6 linked regions of the Oryzias latipes genome follow. The protein of the gene in region 1 binds, or shares a complex with, the protein of each later gene. Links are inferred from orthologs where the notes say so. Each region holds a gene or a part of one and is shown in the gene's direction. Other genes may lie near its edges.

Region 1 (4,120 bases):
CCGGGCAGTTTGGCCCTGCTATTCCCCCGTTTAGCTGAGGTTAGCATCGACTACCCCGCTGTATCTGAGCATCCTTCCACCATAACAAGACCAGAGTCAAGGTCGCGAGTATCGACGGGCAACAGGTCAAGAGATAAGCCGTGGTTTATGGCTAGCTCCCGTATCAGGATCAACGGAAGGGAACGCCGCATCCATGAAGCCGCGTCCCTCCCCAGCTCTGCAGGCAAACTTACTGCTGCACTCCTCGTCTGCGCATCTTTTAAAGTCAGAGAATCTCCTCTCCAAGGCTGCAGTTGGTATTAAATAAAATAAAACTAATAATAAAAAGCCTAGACGGTAAAAATGTTTTGCTGCCATGTTGGCAGTTAGTGTAGCCGGACTTGACTCCGCCGCCGCCGGAGCATGAGCAGTGGGACGCAGGAGCTGACACGTCAGCAGTTAAGATCCGGCTGGGTGGAGGCCCGGACGGGTTCGCATCGATGGATGAGGCGGATTCAGGTACCTGAGAATCAGCCTCAGGTCCACACCAGAATAAACACGAAGACTGGAAAGCACGACCTCATTCTCTAATGTGTTTGTGTGTGTGGCCACATTCAAATTACTCACTTAGCTCCAATAACAAACCACTGAACATTATTTTCTGAGCAAAAGTAACGCAATTACGAGGAAATAGTAAAATAACTCACTGAAAAACATTGTAGAAGACTTCCTTATATTGAAAGTAAAGATAAATAATTACTACTAGGTTTAAAAAATGACATGGTTAAAAATAAGCTTCATACCGTGACATTGTAAAAATATCAACTCAAAATAATTTTTACGTGTTCTATTAATATTAGTTTTATTTATTTTTTTTTAGAAAACTTACATGTATATGTTTCTTCAATTTCAAAATAATAAAAATTTCAGTAAAACAAAACATTGACTAAAATAAAAAATAGGTTTTGAGAGAATAAATAAATCTTGCTAACACTGTAGCTTTCTTACTTTGTGATTTAAAATGCATTTTTTGCTCTTAGCACAAGTAGTGGATACATTTACAAATACTGTCAACAAGTACACACTACTGTATTTCCGAAGAGAGAAGAGGGAAAAAGAGATCGAAGCCCATTTACTTCTTCAAAAAAAATATTTGGCAAATCTTTTTGCAGTAGTTACAATTTTGGCTCTTTCTTTGCCTTATATTTTAGTAAGTAGTTTATTATTATTGATTAAGTAAGGAACTCTGAGACCGTGAAAAGTCACGTGGAGGAAACCCCCTGCTCCGCCCCGCCTCCTTGGGTTGATTCAGCCAATAGCAAGACAGATTCACAATCTACTTCCTGAGCTGCACCGGAAGTGTGGTGGCTACAAACATCTCACATGTGTAGCAAGAATTACGTTTTTTTTTGTTATTTAAATCAGAAATATCAATTTAGTGCCAAGCATACTCTTTTATTTAGACACCATTTAGGTAAAACCTATTTCCGTAAGATAAGACCTTAATTTCATCCTAATTTGACGCTTATTTTCGAGTAGGGTAACTTCAACACAGTGAGCCTCAGTGGGGCTAGTCTGGCCAGGTAAGCAAATCAAATGTCAGCTACTAGTTCAGGGCTCGACATAGCCATTTGTCCGCTGGCCCGGTCCTGTTTTTCGAGCAGTGCGGACCACAAGACTTTACTTTTCACTTGTCCGCTCGGGCCACTAAAATATCTAACTGTTTATATATTCTTCACCTTTTTCAATAAAGTAAATTTTGCGAAAACGTGTAGATTTACCTCGTCTTCATAATTTAGTTTTTCTGCTAGTCCTGTGTTCAGACTTCAAAGGTTTCTATGGGAAACCTTTGATCACTTCTCCTTCTCTCCCGCCTGCGCGCGCGCGGCTTTCACTGCGGAGCACCACGCGGCACGCGCTCACTACTTTTTTTTTCAAACTTTATTGAATGTAACAATTCAATACAAAACAATGTTAAACAGCAACAACGAAGGCACAAGCCAGTGGGTTATTATTACATTTGATTATAAATCCGACACCGTCACTGAAGAGAGACTGAAGCATGTCAGAGATGTGGAAGACATGGCAGGAATAGATAGGAATATGTTAGATGGAGTAATGGGTGGAATTAGTACTATGGACAGCAAGATATTTAATGAATGCATTGAAGATGAAACTGTATGCACTAAGCTTTAAGCTGAATGTCAAAGAATCAAAGGCAACTCCAAATACCTGAATCTCAGACTCAAATGCAGTAGAATGTTAAACTACTTAATTTTACTTAAAGTAGAAATACTTACTGTAAGCAGTAAGTATTTCTAGTTAGCTGAATGATCTCAGTTAGACCTGCACAATATGAGGAAAACTCGCGATATGCGATATCAGAGATTAAAATTGCGATAACGATATAATTTGCGGTATATAAACAAACAGAAAAATAACCAAATAACCATTCCCAGTTTAAAAATTATACTCCAAATGACCCACGTTGACATAGGTTACAAACATCTAACATAACAGGGCTCCATCTGATTGGTCAACAATGTGAAGGCGTCCATCCGATTGGTCAAATGCATTAAGGGATTTACTTGATTCGTTAAATGGTTCAAGCTGCCATTAGATTGTTTTAACACATTTAAGGTTTATGATTTATTGTGATATTTGCCGTTAGAAGCACCATGAAAACTTCTGAACTAGTGTTACCTACTACACTGCAGTGCTCTCTTCAAAACATCTGAAACAGACTAGAGCAGATTTAAGTTTGATATGGTCTATTTTCAGTCATTGAAAAGTGTAGAAATAAGTGATGTCACCAGAATGCACCAAATTGCACCATATTAAAAGTTTCCGGGGGGGCATGCCCCCGGACCCCCCTAAAGTTGCAAGCACCTGCGGAGCGGCGGGTCCCGCTATGCGCGGTGTCGGGCCAGTAACTTTCAGGCAGGGCCAGTAAGTTTCAAAAACTACTGGCCCTGTGGGCCAGTGCAAATTTCTGGGCTATGTCAACCCCTGTAGTTATGATTGTGTTGTACACCTAAAAATCTGCAGACAGTTGGTCATAAGTGACACGTTATTTAGTTCTAGAAGAGCATCTTTGTGATTTTTAAAATGTTCATAAAACAGAAAAATTGTAATGTCAAAGGACCTGTTTGCTACTTTTTGCTTTACTGTCTCTCATTGTTTTTCTCCTCGTAGGTTGAAGAGCCATAACTTTTAGCCAAACATGGACGACCTGGAGAAAGAACTGAACCCTCGTGAAGACATGGAGAATGATGATGATGATGCTGATGACTCCTGTGACAACAGCTCTAGAAAAGAAGGAAGCTCATTCAAGTTAGATTTGATCCAACCAATTTGTCAAAGTAAGACACACTTTATATTCCATAAAAGTGCGTTTTCCCCTCTAATTCTCTTTAAAAAAATATGGGTTTATGAGCATATGTCAGATAACACCATACAGATTGTCATTAAAACGGTATTTTTTAAGTAAACATCTTCAGAAATCACTGAAAAGATTATACTTATCATGAAAACATATGTCATCTACATTTTATTGCAATAATAAACAAACCCTAATTGGCTGAATTATTCTACATTAGCCAAAAAATGATATTTTTGTTTGGAACTCATTAATTTGTAAGTTTTACTTAAATAATTTCAGAGACTCTGCACGAAAATGGATTTCACCAGAGCGTCAGACTGTGCCTGGAGTACATCAGAGAAGCCATGCTTCATCACAGGTGGCTGGAGGCAGCAGAGTACATGGCCAGCTATGCACAAATATTAGAGGACAGAGTTAATCTCACAGCACAGCAATACAAAGAGGCAAGTTTGCTTTTGCGTCTTCACCAAATGTGTGTATCTTAAAAAGAAGGTAAATTTAATATCTTCTTGTAGCTTGTTTGGAGAATCAGCACTGAGATCCTTCACCATCATCCCAAATCTACGATGGATGACTACAATGTCATATATGAACGGATGAAGCATTCAGGATTTAAACATTATCTAAAGGTGTGTTAAAACGAGCCCTTGTCCTCTTTTGAACATAATTTTTCCTCTAAATTCTGCAATTTTCTTCTTCTTTTTTTTTAGATTTCTCTGGAACATTCATTCCACTTAATGCTTCATGGTCAGATAGAAG
Region 2 (2,802 bases), on another chromosome or scaffold:
TTTGTAGTGAGGAACAGTCCAGGTTAGCAGCTAGAAAATATGCCCGTGTGGTGCAAAAGCTCGGTTTTCCTGCAAAGTTTTTGGACTTCAAGATTCAAAACATGGTGGGCAGTTGTGATGTCAAGTTTCCCATTCGTCTGGAAGGACTGGTCCTCACACATCAGCAGTTCAGCAGGTAATTTCTCCTTGTTTTACTGCAGATTTAAAGAATCCGTATAAAAATCCCTGAAAGGCTTTTCAAAAATGTGACAGTTTAATCGACTATTGACAGTTATTGATAAGAAAATATGTTGGGACAGCTGTGCTGACACACATGCCAACTTAGGTATTAAACATATATGTTTAACATAAAAGAAAATATTAAGTAAAAAAATAAATCTGAATGGATGACAAATGATATAAATGTACTGAACAAGCACCACAATGATATGTATGCATCAGATTTTATTAATGCTCCAAAACCATCCATTTTTTAAACTGGTTTCCTGCAGTGTCTGTAAATCTGATAAGCAGGTCAGAATTGAACAAAATCCTAAACCACAATCTGACTCACAGACAGAAGTTTGACACTCAGATGGCAAACTATATATTTTTTTTTTATTCTCCTGGTTTTATTTTGCTTTTCTAAAATGAGGTAATATTTGTATTGCAGCTATGAGCCGGAGCTTTTTCCAGGCCTGATTTACAGAATGATCAAACCTAGAATTGTGCTGCTTATCTTTGTTTCTGGGAAGGTGGTACTCACAGGTAAGTTTTCACTAGACTTTTTTGTTTCCTATTGTGAGTAAAACAGGATGTTAACTGTATGTACTTATTGTTTACACTTTTATTTAGCATTTTTCTATTTTTTCTTTGTTCTCCGTGAAGTATTTAGAATTTTGTTGATGTAAAATTGAAGTTCCAAAACAGATTTTTAAATTCTTTTTGATGAGCTTTACCTTCTGTTTTTTAACTTATTGTATTTATTTCTATTTTTAGGTGCCAAGGTGAGAGCAGAAATCTATGAAGCTTTTGAAAACATTTATCCCATCCTGAAAGGATTCCGCAAGACTACGTAGAACTTATAATTCCCTGTTTTCTATCCAAACGCTATAACTTTTTACATTTCTGTCTATTTTTTCTTTAATATTCACTGAGATGTTAACATTTTAATATTGACCTCTTCAAGTTGACAGTAAAGACTTGAATGTGAAAGACTATTTGTCTTTCCCTTAATTTTTTTTTTAACCAAAAAGACATTTTAAAGGTCCTCTGCTCGTTTCCTCATCACAATTGATCTTCACCCGGAACTTTACCTGCTTTTAGCTTTTACATTTTCTTCTCTTCCTCGCTGGCAAGTTTTCTTACATCGAATTGTACGAAAATGTAAAAAGTATTGAAGAAAAAGGCAGGTAGACCGGGACTTTTCCTGGTTTTATTTCAGTGTTTCAGGTTTTGTATATATTGCAAACTGATTTTTTTCTATCTTTACTCGATTTATGAATGATTTCTCCTTATTTTTTGGGTCAACCCCTTGTAAACAATCTTGCCACAAAATCGATTAACTTTTCAAATTTCAAATTAAACTGAAGCCATACTTGTCCCCAGGTTACAGTGAAAGCCCTCATTTTATAACGAATAGAAACCATTTCAATAATTGAGTTATCCGATCCAGACTGTAGTTTGTTCTGCAATAATTTGCCTTTACCAGTCAAAGTCACCCCATGTTTCCATCATTGCTTGAAGCTTTTTATTTTTTATGAAGAAACTGAGCATAATTGTGATATCAGATGTGCTTTATTGTAAAACTTGTACAAATGTATATAACTTATTTTCAATTATTAGTCATTCAAAGTTGATAGGATGTTCCAAAAAGCTTAAAGCAAACAGGAAACTTGGAAAAATGATGTTAACAGGCATTCAAAACAATAATGTTCATTAGTCTGTCTTCAATTTAAATGCACCAAGACAAAGGAGTTTGTTTTTTTCTATAAATCTCTGCAGAGAGTGAGTTAACAGTGTAAATGCTCCTGCTTGTCCTGGTTTTTTTTCTTTCTTTCTTTTTGCAAAACTTTGTTTAGAAAAGTACTTATCACTTTTTGATTTGAGTTTCTGGCACTTGTTGATTTCATTTTCTCGTTAACCAACCTAAGGATTACCTTTCAGAAGCCAAACTTTTAAAATAAGTTTCAACTTAACGTCTGTTCCACTTATTATGGATGTTGTCACCAGAAATCCATTTTCCATTTGGATACCTGTTCCTCCACAACTGTTAGAGCTGTACTGTGCGTTAATAAACGTGTTCATACATCCTGTTCATAAAGCAGAGTTTTGTCTTTGTAACATCTGAGGTTTTTTTTACTTTAAGCAGTGTGTTTGCCACAGACTCATTTATTTATCTGAAACTATCTGGAGGAAATTTTTTGAAGTAAAAAAAACCCCTTCAATTTCTTCAAGTCTAGAAAAGAAACTTGAATCGGTCACATTGGGTGGAAACCTATAGAGTTCATAGGTCATCAGATCCATGACATTCAGTAGTTTTTATACAGTTTTCTGTAAGTATTGTTAAATTGAACACTTTGAAATTTGAGTAACATGGTGGTTCAACAGCACAATATGTAAGGTAAAAGAACCAATGGTTTTCTCTTAGTTCTATTTATAAGCAGTAAAACAGCTGCTGTTATTGGAGATGCATCTGAATGAACGGCCCAAACTGGTCTGTAGTGGCACATGACTTGTATTGGCTAATAAGGTCACGTTTAAAGTTTACTCGGTTGAAGTTGTCATTTCGTGAATTTGAAGATGTTTCCAAACTTTTCCGTT
Region 3 (3,816 bases), on another chromosome or scaffold:
TGAAGAGTTTTGAAATGGATTAGCTGCAGATTTGGACTTTTGGTCAGTTTAAAGGTGTTTAGACAAAGTTCTGACCAGAAGCTTTAATCTGTGCTGATGCTCAAATCCGCATCCCATTTTGTTGTCGGAAGTGAAATATTATTATCTAAATTACATAAAAGTTTGTATATTTTGGAGAGAGTTTTTTTCATTGAGAAATTAATCAGAGTGGTAACTACGTCTGGTAGCTTGAAATCGTTGTCTCTGTATTTAAACTTTTTAGTAATAATTGATTTAAGTTGCTGATATTCCAAGAAGTTATTTATTCCATGTTTGTCTTGAAGTTCCTGGGGAGTTATGAATCTACTATCAATAATTATGTGCTCTAGTTGTTTTATGCCCCCTGCTTGCCAATTTATGTCGATTTAAATAGGCAAGCAGGTTGTTTTTATTTTATCAGGTTGTAATTTATTTTTAAAAACCTTGTTTAAATCTAATTTTGTCTTGAGGCTGTGGGCAAAGATATAAATACGGATTAATTGCCTTGTGTGTGAAACTGGAGGCTCAATTTTTTACAGATCGGAATTTAATTACAATTATTTGAGAGGAAACTGCAAAAAACTACATGTAGATATGCAATTGTGGCCAGAAGTACAAACAGGATTTACCAGGAAAAGCATTAATTCCTAGGAAAAATAAAGGAGGCTATTCAATTAAATTGTTGCCAGCTTGAATACTTAAATGCAAAAGCTCCCAGGTGAACTGATAATTCCTAAATTTGCTAAACATCTGAAATTATTAGAAAAACTCAATAATGAACAATGCCACAAATGCAATATTACAAGATAATACTGCTGTGAGAAATAACAAAAAAACAACTAAATATGTTGAGCAACCAAAGGAATTTGATGCAAGCTAAGTGCTTAATTTGCTAAATACATTTTAAAATTATTTTTTTTAAAATAATGGATTTAAAAAGACAGAAAAACCATCAAACATTTGCGAGAAAGGAAACAAAATGACATTTATTAATTCGATTTTTGGCTAACTGAAACATTAGAGGTGAAAATATCTGGATTAAAACACACTTATAAAGTTACAGTAGTCTAAAACCTTCATATAACTTACAACAGTAGTAAGTGATGAATTTATAAGAGTCAACTACGAATAAATAAGGTCTTTTGAGTTGTAAAACGTTGGAACATCCTTAAAATTTAGGGTCAAATGAAGGAAAACTACAATGGTGTCATTCACATTTCTGTCCACTACGAGGCGCTCGTGTTTACGTGACATTACCATCTTCTAGTTAACATGAAGAAGAAGAGCGCACAACAACACCCAATGCGGGCGAGGAGAAAGTAAATTATTGTCTGTTTTTGTGCAAACAGCCATCGATCAGGTAATTATCCTCAAATCACTCCTCCGAGAGCCCGCGCGCGCCCACCCACGTGCCTGCAAGTTAGCATGATGTGTTAGCTATCTGTCTGTCGGACTGTTGTTGTGTCACGTGCTCTGAACATAGCCGCCGCGCTTCCTCAGAACCAGAGCAAATGTCTTCAAACGGCCGCGACCCCAACTTCTGTCAGGATTGTGGCAGCGTCCTGCCGTTGCCAGGACTGTCCGACACGGTGCGCTGCCCTCGCTGCTGTCTCTGCACGCCCGTGACAGGTAAGCGGTCCACGCCGCCATGAGAGTCTGCCTGCTCTGCTGCTGGTTCATGTCCCTCAAGAACCGAATGGCTTTTAAGCACCAAGAGTACAGTCAAAACTACCGGTTTACTGAAAATGAGGCACTCAGTCTGACATTTCCCTCCATTTTTTATTTGTTTTTGATCAGCAACTACCTTTAAGTTCACATTATGTGTAAGTTCTTCCTTGATTTTTTAGTTTCTCTGATTTGACTGCCCTCCTTTCTTAATGACTAGTATGCTTTAACAAGAATGGGAAATAAAAAGCAACCACCTAAAACTGCTCAAATGAAACATTTCAGACAAATCAATTTAGCATATGATCAACATCAGTCATTGAATTTCTTCCTCAGCCGGTCTGTGGAGCAGTGATGAGACAGTAACCTCTGCTGGGCTCACTCCTCCTCCCTGGGAAGGCCTCATATTGGGGTTGGAGATCCACTGGCAGCTCATACATGTGTCCTTTACCACGTGACACTATCACAGGTCATGGGAAGGATGTTGAGGATTCAGAAGAACTCTGTTGCTGAAAGTTACTCTTAATGCTTTCATGAAATTATTTGAGCCAGTCTGCACTGACAAAAGGGTTCTCCTGATGTCTCTCTAACAGGTCTAATCTGTCCAATCCTCTAACTGTGCTGCTTTTGCTCTGCAGAGTTCTTGGGAAGAGAAATTCAGTCTGGGGTTATCTTCAACCCCGCTGAGCAGACCTTGCTGGCTCTGGAGGATGAGGAGAACTCAGAGCTGAAGGGCCCTGTGGTAAAAGCAGCCGTCCGCTCAGCAGTGGAGCGTTCGTTGTCGCGGTAACGCCTCACGGTTTGCTTCTTGCCTTGCTTGCAGATTGACCGACGCTGCACTCGCTGCAATAAGGAAGGCATGATCTACCACACTAGGCAGATGAGATCTGCAGATGAAGGACAGACGGTCTTCTTCACCTGCATCCACTGCAGGTAGGTGGCGTCAGCGTGACCCTCCTGTCCTGCTGTACGGTTCTGGAGCTGACCGGTCTTTGTCTTGTTTCAGGTTCCAGGAAAAGGAGGACTCCTGAGAAAAGCTTTTGCTTACTATCTGATCACAATCACCTCAACTCTGGTTCTGTTTTGATCCAGGGAGCTGCTTTTTTGTAGTGATGAGCTGTTTCTGTTTGTTAAACTGAACTTGTGCATGTTCTGGTGCACGTGTTGGTCCTCTCCACCTTTGTCACACATGACACTGGTCAGTTCATCGGGACTCTACAAGAAAAAAAACAGGAATCGATGTCTCAGATTTAAACTGCAGCCACGGAGGCTCAGGACAATCAGGTATACATTTTACACAAGTCAACTAAAGTGAAGGAGCAGGACAGCAACTCAGCAAACTAACCAGAAACAATAAAACTGTATCAGCTGTTTATATTTATTTTTCCTGAAGCATACCCTGATTCTCAACTGGACAGCTGTTAGTACTTGCGCGCATTTTCTCAGAAAATGATCTCTTTATAGTTTGATTAATTTCTTTAAAACTCTTGTCAAAGACCAGAAAACTGTCATCCTATGTTTTTATAAAGTATTCTACCAAATTTGAACTGTTGTATCCAGTAAGGCTTCAACTTACATCTCACATGGCTGTTAAATTGTTCTTTAAATGATAAAGAACGCTCTTGGTATCTGACATGTTCTTTTTGTTGATTTATTGAAGCAGAATGGTAAACGGCGTATACTTATTTAGCCCCTTAACTATCTTCTTGGAGCATTTTACAGTCACAGTTCCATTCACCCATGAACACACACACTGATTGTGGCTCAGCTACCAAACCATGTTGCCAACCTATAACCCCCAGAAGCAAGGTGGGGTTCAGTGTCTTAACCTTGGACACATGGGCGGGTAGGGTGGGAATTAAACCTGCAACCTCTTGATCAGGGGTTGACCGCTCTACTTCTGCACCACAACTGCCCTGTTAAGTTGCCAGCAGCATTTAGAAAAAAACAGTTCAACCTCCTTGGTCTAGTTTGGTCCTCCTGGGCCTCAGTAGCTCTCCATCATACCTATACCCCCCCCCCCCCCCCAATCTCTCTCTAAAGCCTTTTTAATAACTGCCCCCCTCATCTATTATCCACAGGAGATGCACAAGCAGGCAAGCTATTTGGCATAAAAGTAAACTCTTACAAAAA
Region 4 (4,029 bases), on another chromosome or scaffold:
TATCTTATGAAACGTATAATTTACCTGAATGACACGAGTCTTTGAGTCTCTGAGAGCGTTTCCTCGAGGCTTGGAGACAAGTTTGCCTTTGCTTTTACATTCTTTGTCAAAAATTTGAACCGTTTCTTCAAATTCCCCAAACTTCAGGTACTAAAGAGAACAAACACAAAGTGTGTTAATTATACAATCACCATCGTGGAATACATTGAAATGTTAGATCAACTATCAGAATAAACAGATTATGGATTTTAATTGCAGTTTTTTTCTTCACATCCCTATCATGCTTTACCTCTTTAATCATCCCAAGGAGATCGGCTTCAGTTGCCAAGATGTCTCCCATCTTGGCTGTCTTAGTTGAACTCATCCGTGGACCACAGCTGTCAAAATACCGGCCGTCATTTGGGGCTCAGTTTGAAATTCCTTTGCACTTACAAAAAACAGGTAACAGTCTGAACAGACAGAATAGCACAGACAGGCAAAAAGAAAAAGAAAAAAATACTTCAATAATTTCACGTTTTAATGTAAAGATGACCAGTCTTGCTTATTCGAACAAGAGCAAATAATTACAACCTGTATTAACTTGTACGGTTTCAGTTTTCTTTCCGAATTATTATTTGTTTGTTCCAACCGAGGTTACTGTAGTTGTATTCAATTCAATTACATTGTATTTATAGCCCAATATTTACAGCAATAGTCATCTCAATGGGCTTCATTCCGGTAATTGTGTAATAAACATGAATCATAAAGAACATAAAGTCATAGAATTCAATAGCTGATTGCTAAACTAAACAGAAGAAACTAAGTGGACATCCCTGCCCTAAAACTAAGACCATCCTAATGTTACTACTATGATCAAAAAAAAATTATTTTCATCTTTGTATGCATTTTATAGCGGAAAACACGTTAACTATAACGGCAGAGATTTGAAGAGCTGCAAACTGCAGGAAGCTAGTCAATAATTGTTTCAGTCAGGTTTGTTCACATGATGAGCGTTCCTTACCTCGTTTGACCATCTTTTCTTGGTAAGAATCCGCATTAGAAGTTTCATTAAATATTTTATTTATGCTTAAAATGTATATTGGTAATTATTTTTTCGATATAATGACGCTTATGGTAAAAACAACAGCCTTAACATTAGCTAGCAACCGTCCACACAGAGGACGCTAAACGCACCTAGCAACAAGATGACGACAGACGGAAGTTAGTAAAAACTGTCGTAAAATTAGTTCAGTTGTTGGTTACTTAAATTATCAGTTAAATAATTGAGAGAAAACAAATACTTTTATAAAAATCTTTTTTTTATTTGCTACGTAAAATTTAGCCAAAATATTATTCGTTTTTTCCCCATCTTTGACCTATTGTGAGCCTTCAAATAAAACGGTAGGCAAATTTAATTGGTGTTATTTTAGTGATCATTTTTTCTACATTACACCATCGCAACGCATTTTTCCCTTTCTAAAAAATGTATAACATTCAGTAAAGCAAAACATGCGTCTTTCTTTTAAAAGAAAAAAAGAGACAAAAAAACGGAAGTTCTTGTTATGTCAAAGGTCGAACACGCTGGTTCTGCGCGGTACCGACTATTTCGCTTAATAATGAATGAAAATCTATCTAAATCAAATATCTGACGTCTAGGTTACATTATTATCGTTTTTACACGAATTCACCACATTCCAGGGCATACTATTTACACAAAAATACAAGAACAGCACTTGGGGGTAAGTATTATATTTTGTGTGGACAACATGATGCTACAGTTAGCGCGTAAGTGAACATTGTTAAAGTTGTCCAAAGTTGTGACAAGTTTTGTTCACCCACTTTGACACGGTGGGAGAGCTTTGTGATTTCCATTTGTTTTGACCTATTCCTTTTTCTTTTTAACTTGTTTTTAATTAATTATAGTCAAGATCGGGACCAGAACGCTTAGGAGTGACCAGGTTAGACAGGATAAGGAACGAGTACATCAGAGGGACGGCCCATGTTGCCTGTGTTAGCGACAAAGTCAGAGAAGCCAGAATGAGATGGTTTGGACATGTTCAGAGGAGGGATAGTGGATATATTGGTAGAACTAGAAGGATGTTGGAGATGGAGCTGCCTGGCAGGAGGCCAAGAGGACGGTCAAAGAGGAGATATATGGATGTCTTAACAGAGGACATGAAGTTGGCTAATGTTAGGGTAGAAGATGTTCATGATAGAGTGAGGTGGAAAAGGATGATTCGCTGTGGCGACCCCTGATGGGAAAAGCCGAAAGAGAAAGAAAGAAGAAAGAAGAGTCATAGGAATTTCACACTGAAACTGTGAAAAACACAATATAGCACTCACTGCTATAGTGTGTTTTTCTTGATTGACTTGGCTACGTAAAATGCTTTGCTGTGTGACTAACCTTCCCTTTTAATTTTGTTTTATGATGAATCTGTTTTAGGTTTAACAGAAAGGGATAAAGATGGCTGGGATTTTGTTTGAAGATATTTTTGATGTGAAAGACATTGATCCAGATGGCAAGAAATTTGACAGAGGTATGTGGACTGTCACTGTAAAAACACAAAAACGATCTTCACCAGTAGATAGTTTCAGTTGTAAAAGTCATAATTACAATTGTATATTGCATTTTTGTTCATATTGTGTTAAGTGTGACTAAAAAATTGTGTTGTCAGTAATTACAGCTTTTATTTTATTATTTTATTACAGCTAAACATTACAGTCATCACATTACTGAGTTGGGAAACCTTCAATCCTGCTTTTTAGTAGCTTTAAAACTAACACAATAACAAACATAATCATTATATGCATTTGCTTGAAAAAGATGGATATCTAAAAGCGCGTTAGTCAGTTTCATAATGTTTTCAGTTCTCTTTAATATAAACTAATACAGGTTATTATTACTTATACTGCAGTGTCTCGTCTGCATTGTGAAAGTGAATCTTTCAAGATGGACCTGATCTTGGATGTAAATACTCAGATTTATCCTGTTGATCTTGGTAAGAAATTAACAATGTCCTTTATTGTTTATGTCTTGTTTGATCTTAGACATTTGGCCTTTGTGGAGGAATTTTTAAATTGATTATTGGTAGTATTTAGTGAAACTGTCATTCTTCACTCTTGTAAGGTGTTGGTGCAGAATTGATAAGTTATTTTAACTCAGTTTTGACTCAATGTAAAACTATTGTATTAGAAGTGTAGCTTGATCTTAGGTGATTATGTACATTGCTATGATAAATCCAGATTTTTTTTTGCATGTTTCAAAAAGGGGACAAGTTCAGACTGGTGATTGCCAGTACATTATATGAAGATGGAACGCCAGATGATGGAGAGTACAATCCCCAGGATGATCGACCATCTAGGCAAGGCATTTAAAGAAGATAAATGAACATCCATGTCTTTCAATCTGTGGCAGATAATGTGTGATGCTTTTGATTCATCTTCCATTTTTAAATTGTTTCTAGGGCAGCTCAGTTTGACTATGTAATGTATGGAAAGGTCTACAAGATAGAAGGCGATGAGACCTCAACAGAAGCAGCCACGCGTCTGTAAGTTCTACACAAATGCATGTAGATCATTACAATCCTTTATTTAAGTTAAAAGTCAAGTGCTGTCAATTTAGTGATTAGTAAAAATTTAAATAAACTGTATGTATGTGTAAATGTTGATCAAGTCCTCTAATGATGTGCTTGTTCTTTCAGCTCAGCCTATGTGTCTTATGGAGGCCTTCTCATGAGGCTGCAGGGAGATGCCAACAATCTACACGGCTTTGAGGTAGACTCCAGAGTCTATCTCCTCATGAAGAAGCTGGCCTTTTAACCCCCCTCCTCTGTTTTCTACCGCCTTCATCCACCTTTGTAAAACTGGGATCTAGAAAAGTGGAACATATGAACATCTTAGAGACAAAACACCATGTTTTTGTAAACCTCTGTTGTATTTTTTATAGTTCCTCCAACAAACTACACTGAGGTCTGTGATTTCCACTTGGTGGTACACTGTAAATAAATATTTCTTTCTTTTATACAAAACAATTACAAGTGTTGATTAACT
Region 5 (2,855 bases), about 16 Mb from region 1:
CTCCAGCATCCTCTGATCTTCAGGCTCCTCCATGAATCCTTGTTGCTTCTAAACTCTGGAACTCTCATTCAGACATTTGCTTCGTTTCCAGTTTTAGATCTTTGAAAATGCTTTTGGGTTCCTCTCAGTTTGATGGCAGTGCCCATCTGAAACGTTTGTGTTTCTTTGTCTCACACGTGTTCTGTGTCGTTCAGGTGGCCGTCACACATGGATGGTCTGTGAAGGTTTCCAGTTCATCCTGATGAACCAGGCGGATGCCCTGCTTAGGCTGGGAGTCCATCCTCACTTCAAGGTCTGAATCTGTCCGTATTGATCTGCCATCGATGCCTGAGCCCGTCTGATCAGTGTGTGGCTCGCCGCTTTAGGACGGCGTGCTGCGTCAGCTGTGGAGGCTCTACTTGCAGAAGAGCCGGCAGGCTTACTGCGTCAACCGAGTTAGGAGCGCCAAGTTCAGAGTGGTCAGTTTCAGTCTGTGACTCACCTTCCTTTGAAAATCTGTGCTGAGATAATCATATACATGATTTCAATGAGTACTAACACGGATGTTTATTTATTCATATGCTCTCCATGCTTTTTCATAACTGGAGGGATATCAGTTTAGTCTGAATTTTTAGATCCACTCAAATGCAGGAACAAACATAAATGTCTTCAGAGGAAGAGTGATGATGACTGCAGCAGCCTTCTGTTCTGTCCCCCCCCCCCCCAGGGAGACGCAGACTCGGATTCAGACAGCGCAGCCGAGGCGTCTGTGGCATCAGCCAGCGGGACGGATGGAGAGTCAAATCCCTGCAGCAGCCCCAGCTCTAAAGGAGGTATGTTTGACTCCCCCAGCAGGAGCAGCTGGGGTCAGCCATGAAGTCTTTGGTCACTGGACTATGGAGACGCCAGACCTCAGATCTCTGCCGTCTGGGGGACTACAGGGGGGTCTGACTTTGAAATGAGTGAATTATTATTATTATCTAATTATTGAATTAGACTACTGACAGAAAGTTGGAGATATTACTAATAACTAAAAATTAATGAGAAAAAAACATTTTCATTAGGTTAATATTACCCCTAAAATGAGGACAATAATAAAAATAGCCCCAAATAACAGAAATGTCAATAGTGGGTATTTGCAGCATTTGCATCAACAGCAGCTTGACAGTGACGTCTCCTCACCAACCTCATGGTGTTGGTCTGAACCAATCTTCCATAAGTGCTGCATGTAGTTCTGCAGCTCACTTGGGGGTGGGATACCATCATCCAGTCTGCTTCAGCTGGTCCCAGACGTTCTCTATGGGTTTCAGGTCAAGGGTCATTGCTGGTCATACCACATGAGCTACTCCCACTTCCTGAAGTCCTGCTGTGACAGTACTGGTACCATGTGATAGGGTGTAATCATCCATGAACAGAAAGCTGGGGGTGTTCTGGTGGAATTGGGGGATGAGAATGGTTCTATGATGTCTCTGAGGTTAGAACATTCAGTGACTGGGTCATTTACAATAACCAAATCAGTTTGACCCTGACTGGTGATACCTGTCCAGACTGTTACACCTCCTTCCCCAAAGCCAACCCTGAGGACCTTTGACCTCGGCGTATCGCTCACCACGTCTCTGTGTATATCACATCCACTGAGTTTGTTGTTTTTTTCACAATATCCATGACGTATTGTGAGTATTGTATGTTGAAATGTAGCCTAATCCCTCAGGCAGTGACTGGTCTGGATCAGCGGACAGCCTCTGTTACCTGACTCCCCGTCAGAGGCGGAGCCATAGACTCCTGAGCCTGAAGAAGACTCTGGCCCTGATCCACTTGGCCTTGGTCTGGAGCCGGGAGGCGCTGACTCTCAGCGACCTGCTTGGGTAATCTGCTCCTCCAAACCAGGCGTTGGACTGCTGGATGTTGGGCTGATCCTGTGTTTGCTCTCAGACTGGTGAACTGTGGAAGCGTCCCGTATGTGAAGGCCCATGAGCAGCTCCCAGAGCAGATGAAGCTGTTCGGCAAAGATGCTCTTCTGTTTACTGCAGAGGTAACGACCTGGAGTGAGTGAGCTGCTGACCTCTGCCCTGTGTTCTCCTGTTTGTTGACGATGTGGTGAACTGTCTCTGCAGACGGTACCGTCTCACCGCTCGCTGCATAAGGAGGCTCAGGATCTGCTTCTGTTCCTGCAACTTCCAGCGTTTCCTCCCATCAGCCAGCAGACTCTGCTCCACCCGGGGCCACTGAGCCTGCGCTACCTGATCGATGCAAACCTGCCCGGTAACAGCTTCCTCCGTCCCAGCTGACAGACAGACATGCATGCTGCGCGGGCTGAGCGGCTCCTTCCTGTCTGCAGGTGAGCTGCACAGGTGGGTCTGCAGAGTGGCGGAGCTCGCAGGTTTGTTCCATGAAAGCCGCCAGACGTTCCACCCCGAGTCCCAGCCCACCCTGCCCCGGTACGACCTGCAGGCGGCAGCGCTCATTATCGTCACCATGAAGCTCCTCTTTGGCCTGGACGACCACACCGAATGGTAACCCCCCCTGCCCTGCCCTCCCCACCCCCCTACATCCATTCCACAGACAGGTCGTCTCACTGCGGTTCTCCTGGTTTCAGGGAGCTGTCCAACAACGCCAGGTCCACAGACGGAGAGGGTCCGTGAGTGCCCCCTGTGTGTGAGTCCTCTTGGTGGGGGCTCTTCAAGCTCATGCTTTCTCTCTGACAGGGGCCCAGTTTAACCTGCGAAGGTGGTACAAACTGATGCAGACCGCTCTGAACCGAGCTCAGCAGAGGAGGGACCAGGACACAGCCAGGTGAGGTTGTTCCTCGGTTCCAGTTTGTCGGACTCCTGCAGATCCTTCAGGTCACTTCTGGCAATATTTTTAAATCTGACTTT
Region 6 (3,500 bases), on another chromosome or scaffold:
GAAGACCACACCCCTTCCATCGAAAGCAGGCTCAGGAGAATCTGTCAAATGTGAGACCACATGCTTTTCCTGAGGCGTCTGATTGGTCAGTTAATAAATGAAATAACTAGAACTTCACACAAAATATGATGAAAAAACAGAGGATTGTCTAGGAGATGTTGAGAATCAGATCAGGAACGGTTCTTCTGATCAACAGAATGACTGAGGAACAGCTGTTTCTATAGGAGTCCATGGCATTTCAGCTTCTTGGAGCCACTCCCTTTTTGGAACGCCAGGGGGGAGGAGTCACTGTCCAGTTCTCATATAGACTCAATAGTTCTAATTAACCTTAACAACTGTGTTGCAGGTGAGTGTCTCCCGTGCAGACCTGGAGGGAGCAGAGGAGGGCGTTCAGGAGCAGAGCACAGACCAGGAGACGCTCTTCGACATGGTAACGCTGTGAACCGTTTGACATTAGACGGATCTCTGGTCAGGATGTTCTCCACATCTTTGCTTCAACAAAAACTCCTTCCCATCAGGATGAAGACGTCCCGGCGGAACAAACACCGGCGATGAAGGTGACGGTCCACCCGGTAGGAGAGAGGCTGGACGCCCTGATGACCGTACTGATGGCCTACATCAAAGACGTCTGCCACGTTAACGGTAGGCAGATCACATCTAGAAAGGATGCTGCTCTAGCTAAAGACTTTTACTTCAGAGGTGTAAAGGAGTAAAGTGGAAGGAAGAAATCCTTCAGAGGAACAGATCATGGTGGAGGTTCTGGAGATCAGTGCAGGGAAGACGTTTGGACAGGGGAAGAGCCTAGAGGAAGACCACAGGACATTTGTGAAGGCTGTTAAGGAGGATGGATGTGTGAGTGAAGAAGAGGAGAAGACTAGATGGAGGCAGAGGATTCATGTGGGAACATCAGCGGCATCAACCCTATTCCCCCTGAGCTGCTGCTCTGCCTGCTTGTTCTCTTCACCGTTGGCCTTAGACAAAGTAATGCCTTACTCACAACGGTCCTTATGGAATACAGCTCCTAAACCCCCCCAGAGGGAAACTGGGACAGACCGAGGGTTTATCATTTCTCCCCCCAGGGCCGTTCCTGATGATTAGTGGTCTATAAGGCTGATCACTGATGTTCATTTGAAACCTCCAGAGAGGAACAGGTTCAGCAGGACTTTCGTGAGGGTTTTTCAACCAAAGTTTTCATATCAATTAACATCATTTAAACGACTGATCTCTGTGAAAAGTTGAAACAAAAGTGAAGGGACATCCTCAGCACTGAAGCGTGTCTCATAAGGTCAAACTAAGATGGAAATACGTTTTATTAAGCCGAAGGTCAAAATAGTTTGGGGAGAATGTGACTGTTAATCGTCAGTAGGCCTAGCTAACAGCTACATGTTCCACCAGAATAAGAAACGGCTCCATTTGACCTCCAGCAAACACAAAGGAGAAACAACTGAGCTGTTTCCCTGAGAGGTCAGACACACAACAGACACACAACAGGAGGAAACAGTCACACTGATCAATGATAGATCGGCCTGCTGCTTCACGTCCTCTGTTCACGGTTCACCGATGACTGGTTGACGTCTTCAAGTCGGCGCTCCTTACCACATCCTGGCTGTTGGAAATGAGGAAATTAGACGGTGTACTTTGTGTGAACATCCGACGGACGGGCACTTGTGTATCACGTGCACGCCAGTGTGTGCAGCATTTGCATTCGGTGAGCCAGAACTCTGACCTTTCAGACGACTAGAGTGTGGTGTAAGGACACTGTACCACAGCATCACCCGTGTGTTCCAAGTTTCCATTAGCCGTAGATGTTCTCTATGATACACGTAGCACACATACAACACTGAGGTGACCGTGCACGCCTCAAGGGGAGTGTAGGACACTCCTGCACTGGTTCCTCTCAATGACCCTCCATGGACCCAGACAACCCAAAAACCTGCAGCGCCCGTTCGGATCAACCCCCCCCCCCCCGTACACGTGCATGTGACCAAAGCTTAAAGCTGCTATCAGTTTGGATGCTTCAGCAAATCAAATCAAATCAAACTTTATAAAAGGGTGCTTCTCATGCCTCAGTGCTTTACATTTAAAAACAAACACAATATTACATAAAAAGACAACCCACTCCCCTCCATGAACACACATGACCCCTCACACAAAGAACACTTATAAATGTCACTTCTGAGAGAAACGTCTCGACTCTGCAGCAGATATCCACAGTGCAGTGTAGTCCTTCATCCACTGCCGTTAGACTCAGCCACCTGCATCAAATGTTAACGCAGTACGTTTCTTTGTGTCTCATTGCTGGACTTGTGTAACGGTGTTTGTGCTAGAATGTGTTGGTCCAGCCACAGAAACGTGTGCATCCACACCGTGCCTGTCGTCTGTGCAGGCTCTTTCCATGCTGAGCGGTCCAAGGAGCTGTTCCGAGATCTCCTGAGCATCTTTGACAAGCTCATCCTGCCCACACATGCTTCCTCACATGTGCAGTTCACCCTCTTCTACCTCTGCAGCTTCAGACTGGTCAGTTGTTCTCACACTGGATAAAAAACACGGTTCAAAAAACTAACCAGCCAGTCGATTTTCACGCAGTGCCTAAGGTAATTGATTCTATTTAATGATGTAGGAGTATGAGGGATGATCAATAGTTTTTTCATTTTACAAGACCCCTCCCATATCTTAACCAACCCCCCTCATCCCAGGTAGGGATGCTGCATTTAAGGCTTCAGATTGAGTCTTTGGTCTCAAACTTACGGATCACTGATGTGATTCTCCAAACATTCTGAGCATTTGTCTTAGTTTTATTGTATTATGTGGGGGGTGGGGGGCAGACGCAGAGGGACAGCAGCTGATACCTAATTGGAATGTCCCAAGTGTGTTTTGTGCCTTACCTGCCCAAGTGTCAAAGTGTCCTTGAGTTAAACACTGAACTCCCAGTTGGTGCCAGTGTCTGGCAGCAGAACCACTGTGCACGTGTGTTTGTGTGCGTGCATGTGTGTGTATGTGTGTGTGTGAGTTTGTACGTGTGTGGTCGTGTGTGTACATGTGTGGTTGTGTGCGTGCTTGTTTGTGTGTGTGTGTGTGTGTAGGTGTGTGCCTGTGTGTGTGTTCGTGCGTGTTTGTTTGTTTGCGTGTGTTTGTGTGTGCGTGTTTGTACGTGTGTGTACAGGTGCATGTGTAGGTGTGTGCGTGCGTGTGTGGGTGTGTGCCTGTGTGTGTGTTCGTGCGTGTTTGTGTGTGTGTTTGTGGGCGTGTGTTTGTGTGTGCGTGTCTGTACGTGTGTGTATAGGTGCGTGTGTGCAGGTGTGTGTGTACATGTGTGGGTGTGTGCGTGCTTGTTTGTGTGTGTGTGTGTGTAGGTGTGTGCCTGTGTGTGTGTTCGTGCGTGTTTGTGTGTGTGTTTGTGTGTGCGTGTTTGTACGTGTGTGTACAGGTGCATATGTACGTGTGTGTGTGCGTGTGTGGGTGTGTTCGTGCGTGTTTGTGTGTGTTTGTGTGTTTGTACG

The links.
Region 2: taf1a (region 1) and tbp share a complex: the UniProt entries of both Homo sapiens proteins name them as parts of the transcription factor SL1/TIF-IB complex. The link is inferred for Oryzias latipes from reciprocal best matches to the Homo sapiens genes TAF1A and TBP.
Region 3: taf1a (region 1) and znrd1 share a complex: the UniProt entries of both Homo sapiens proteins name them as parts of the pol I pre-initiation complex. The link is inferred for Oryzias latipes from reciprocal best matches to the Homo sapiens genes TAF1A and POLR1H.
Region 4: taf1a (region 1) and polr2h share a complex: the UniProt entries of both Homo sapiens proteins name them as parts of the pol I pre-initiation complex. The link is inferred for Oryzias latipes from reciprocal best matches to the Homo sapiens genes TAF1A and POLR2H.
Region 5: taf1a (region 1) and taf1b share a complex: the UniProt entries of both Homo sapiens proteins name them as parts of the transcription factor SL1/TIF-IB complex. The link is inferred for Oryzias latipes from reciprocal best matches to the Homo sapiens genes TAF1A and TAF1B.
Region 6: taf1a (region 1) and rrn3 share a complex: the UniProt entries of both Homo sapiens proteins name them as parts of the pol I pre-initiation complex. The link is inferred for Oryzias latipes from reciprocal best matches to the Homo sapiens genes TAF1A and RRN3.

Annotation. Positions count from the first base shown.
Region 1 is NC_019882.2:5,957,613-5,961,732, forward strand, and holds the start of taf1a (TATA box-binding protein-associated factor RNA polymerase I subunit A), read left to right. Parts: upstream 1-1,320; 5' UTR 1,321-1,562; intron 1,563-3,174; 5' UTR 3,175-3,202; coding exon 3,203-3,341; intron 3,342-3,640; coding exon 3,641-3,804; intron 3,805-3,876; coding exon 3,877-3,990; intron 3,991-4,071; coding exon 4,072-4,120. Other genes in the region: mia3 (transport and Golgi organization protein 1 homolog), read right to left, coding at 234-357. UniProt on the Homo sapiens protein: Component of the transcription factor SL1/TIF-IB complex, which is involved in the assembly of the PIC (pre-initiation complex) during RNA polymerase I-dependent transcription.
Region 2 is NC_019861.2:24,478,921-24,481,722, reverse strand, and holds the end of tbp (TATA-box-binding protein), read left to right. Parts: intron 1-7; coding exon 8-175; intron 176-652; coding exon 653-747; intron 748-978; coding exon 979-1,058; 3' UTR 1,059-2,302; downstream 2,303-2,802. UniProt on the Homo sapiens protein: The TFIID basal transcription factor complex plays a major role in the initiation of RNA polymerase II (Pol II)-dependent transcription.
Region 3 is NC_019869.2:21,549,312-21,553,127, forward strand, and holds znrd1 (DNA-directed RNA polymerase I subunit RPA12), read left to right. Parts: upstream 1-1,256; 5' UTR 1,257-1,378; exon of another isoform or gene 1,379-1,518; 5' UTR 1,519-1,529; coding exon 1,530-1,647; intron 1,648-2,321; coding exon 2,322-2,425; intron 2,426-2,506; coding exon 2,507-2,616; intron 2,617-2,689; coding exon 2,690-2,714; 3' UTR 2,715-3,316; downstream 3,317-3,816. UniProt on the Homo sapiens protein: Core component of RNA polymerase I (Pol I), a DNA-dependent RNA polymerase which synthesizes ribosomal RNA precursors using the four ribonucleoside triphosphates as substrates. Can mediate Pol I proofreading of the nascent RNA transcript.
Region 4 is NC_019862.2:11,777,284-11,781,312, forward strand, and holds the start of polr2h (DNA-directed RNA polymerases I, II, and III subunit RPABC3), read left to right. Parts: upstream 1-1,229; 5' UTR 1,230-1,380; intron 1,381-1,527; exon of another isoform or gene 1,528-1,718; intron 1,719-2,422; 5' UTR 2,423-2,443; coding exon 2,444-2,516; intron 2,517-2,894; coding exon 2,895-2,978; intron 2,979-3,247; coding exon 3,248-3,341; intron 3,342-3,443; coding exon 3,444-3,527; intron 3,528-3,680; coding exon 3,681-3,798; 3' UTR 3,799-4,029. Other genes in the region: lisH domain-containing protein ARMC9, read right to left, coding at 25-150, 290-364. UniProt on the Homo sapiens protein: DNA-dependent RNA polymerase catalyzes the transcription of DNA into RNA using the four ribonucleoside triphosphates as substrates.
Region 5 is NC_019882.2:22,300,544-22,303,398, reverse strand, and holds part of taf1b (TATA box-binding protein-associated factor RNA polymerase I subunit B), read left to right. Parts: intron 1-194; coding exon 195-292; intron 293-365; coding exon 366-458; intron 459-706; coding exon 707-812; intron 813-1,690; coding exon 1,691-1,844; intron 1,845-1,911; coding exon 1,912-2,011; intron 2,012-2,093; coding exon 2,094-2,241; intron 2,242-2,317; coding exon 2,318-2,492; intron 2,493-2,575; coding exon 2,576-2,613; intron 2,614-2,684; coding exon 2,685-2,772; intron 2,773-2,855. UniProt on the Homo sapiens protein: Component of RNA polymerase I core factor complex that acts as a GTF2B/TFIIB-like factor and plays a key role in multiple steps during transcription initiation such as pre-initiation complex (PIC) assembly and postpolymerase recruitment events in polymerase I (Pol I) transcription.
Region 6 is NC_019866.2:25,533,914-25,537,413, reverse strand, and holds part of rrn3 (RNA polymerase I-specific transcription initiation factor RRN3), read left to right. Parts: intron 1-346; coding exon 347-430; intron 431-518; coding exon 519-642; intron 643-2,386; coding exon 2,387-2,517; intron 2,518-3,500. UniProt on the Homo sapiens protein: Required for efficient transcription initiation by RNA polymerase I (Pol I). Required for the formation of the competent pre-initiation complex (PIC).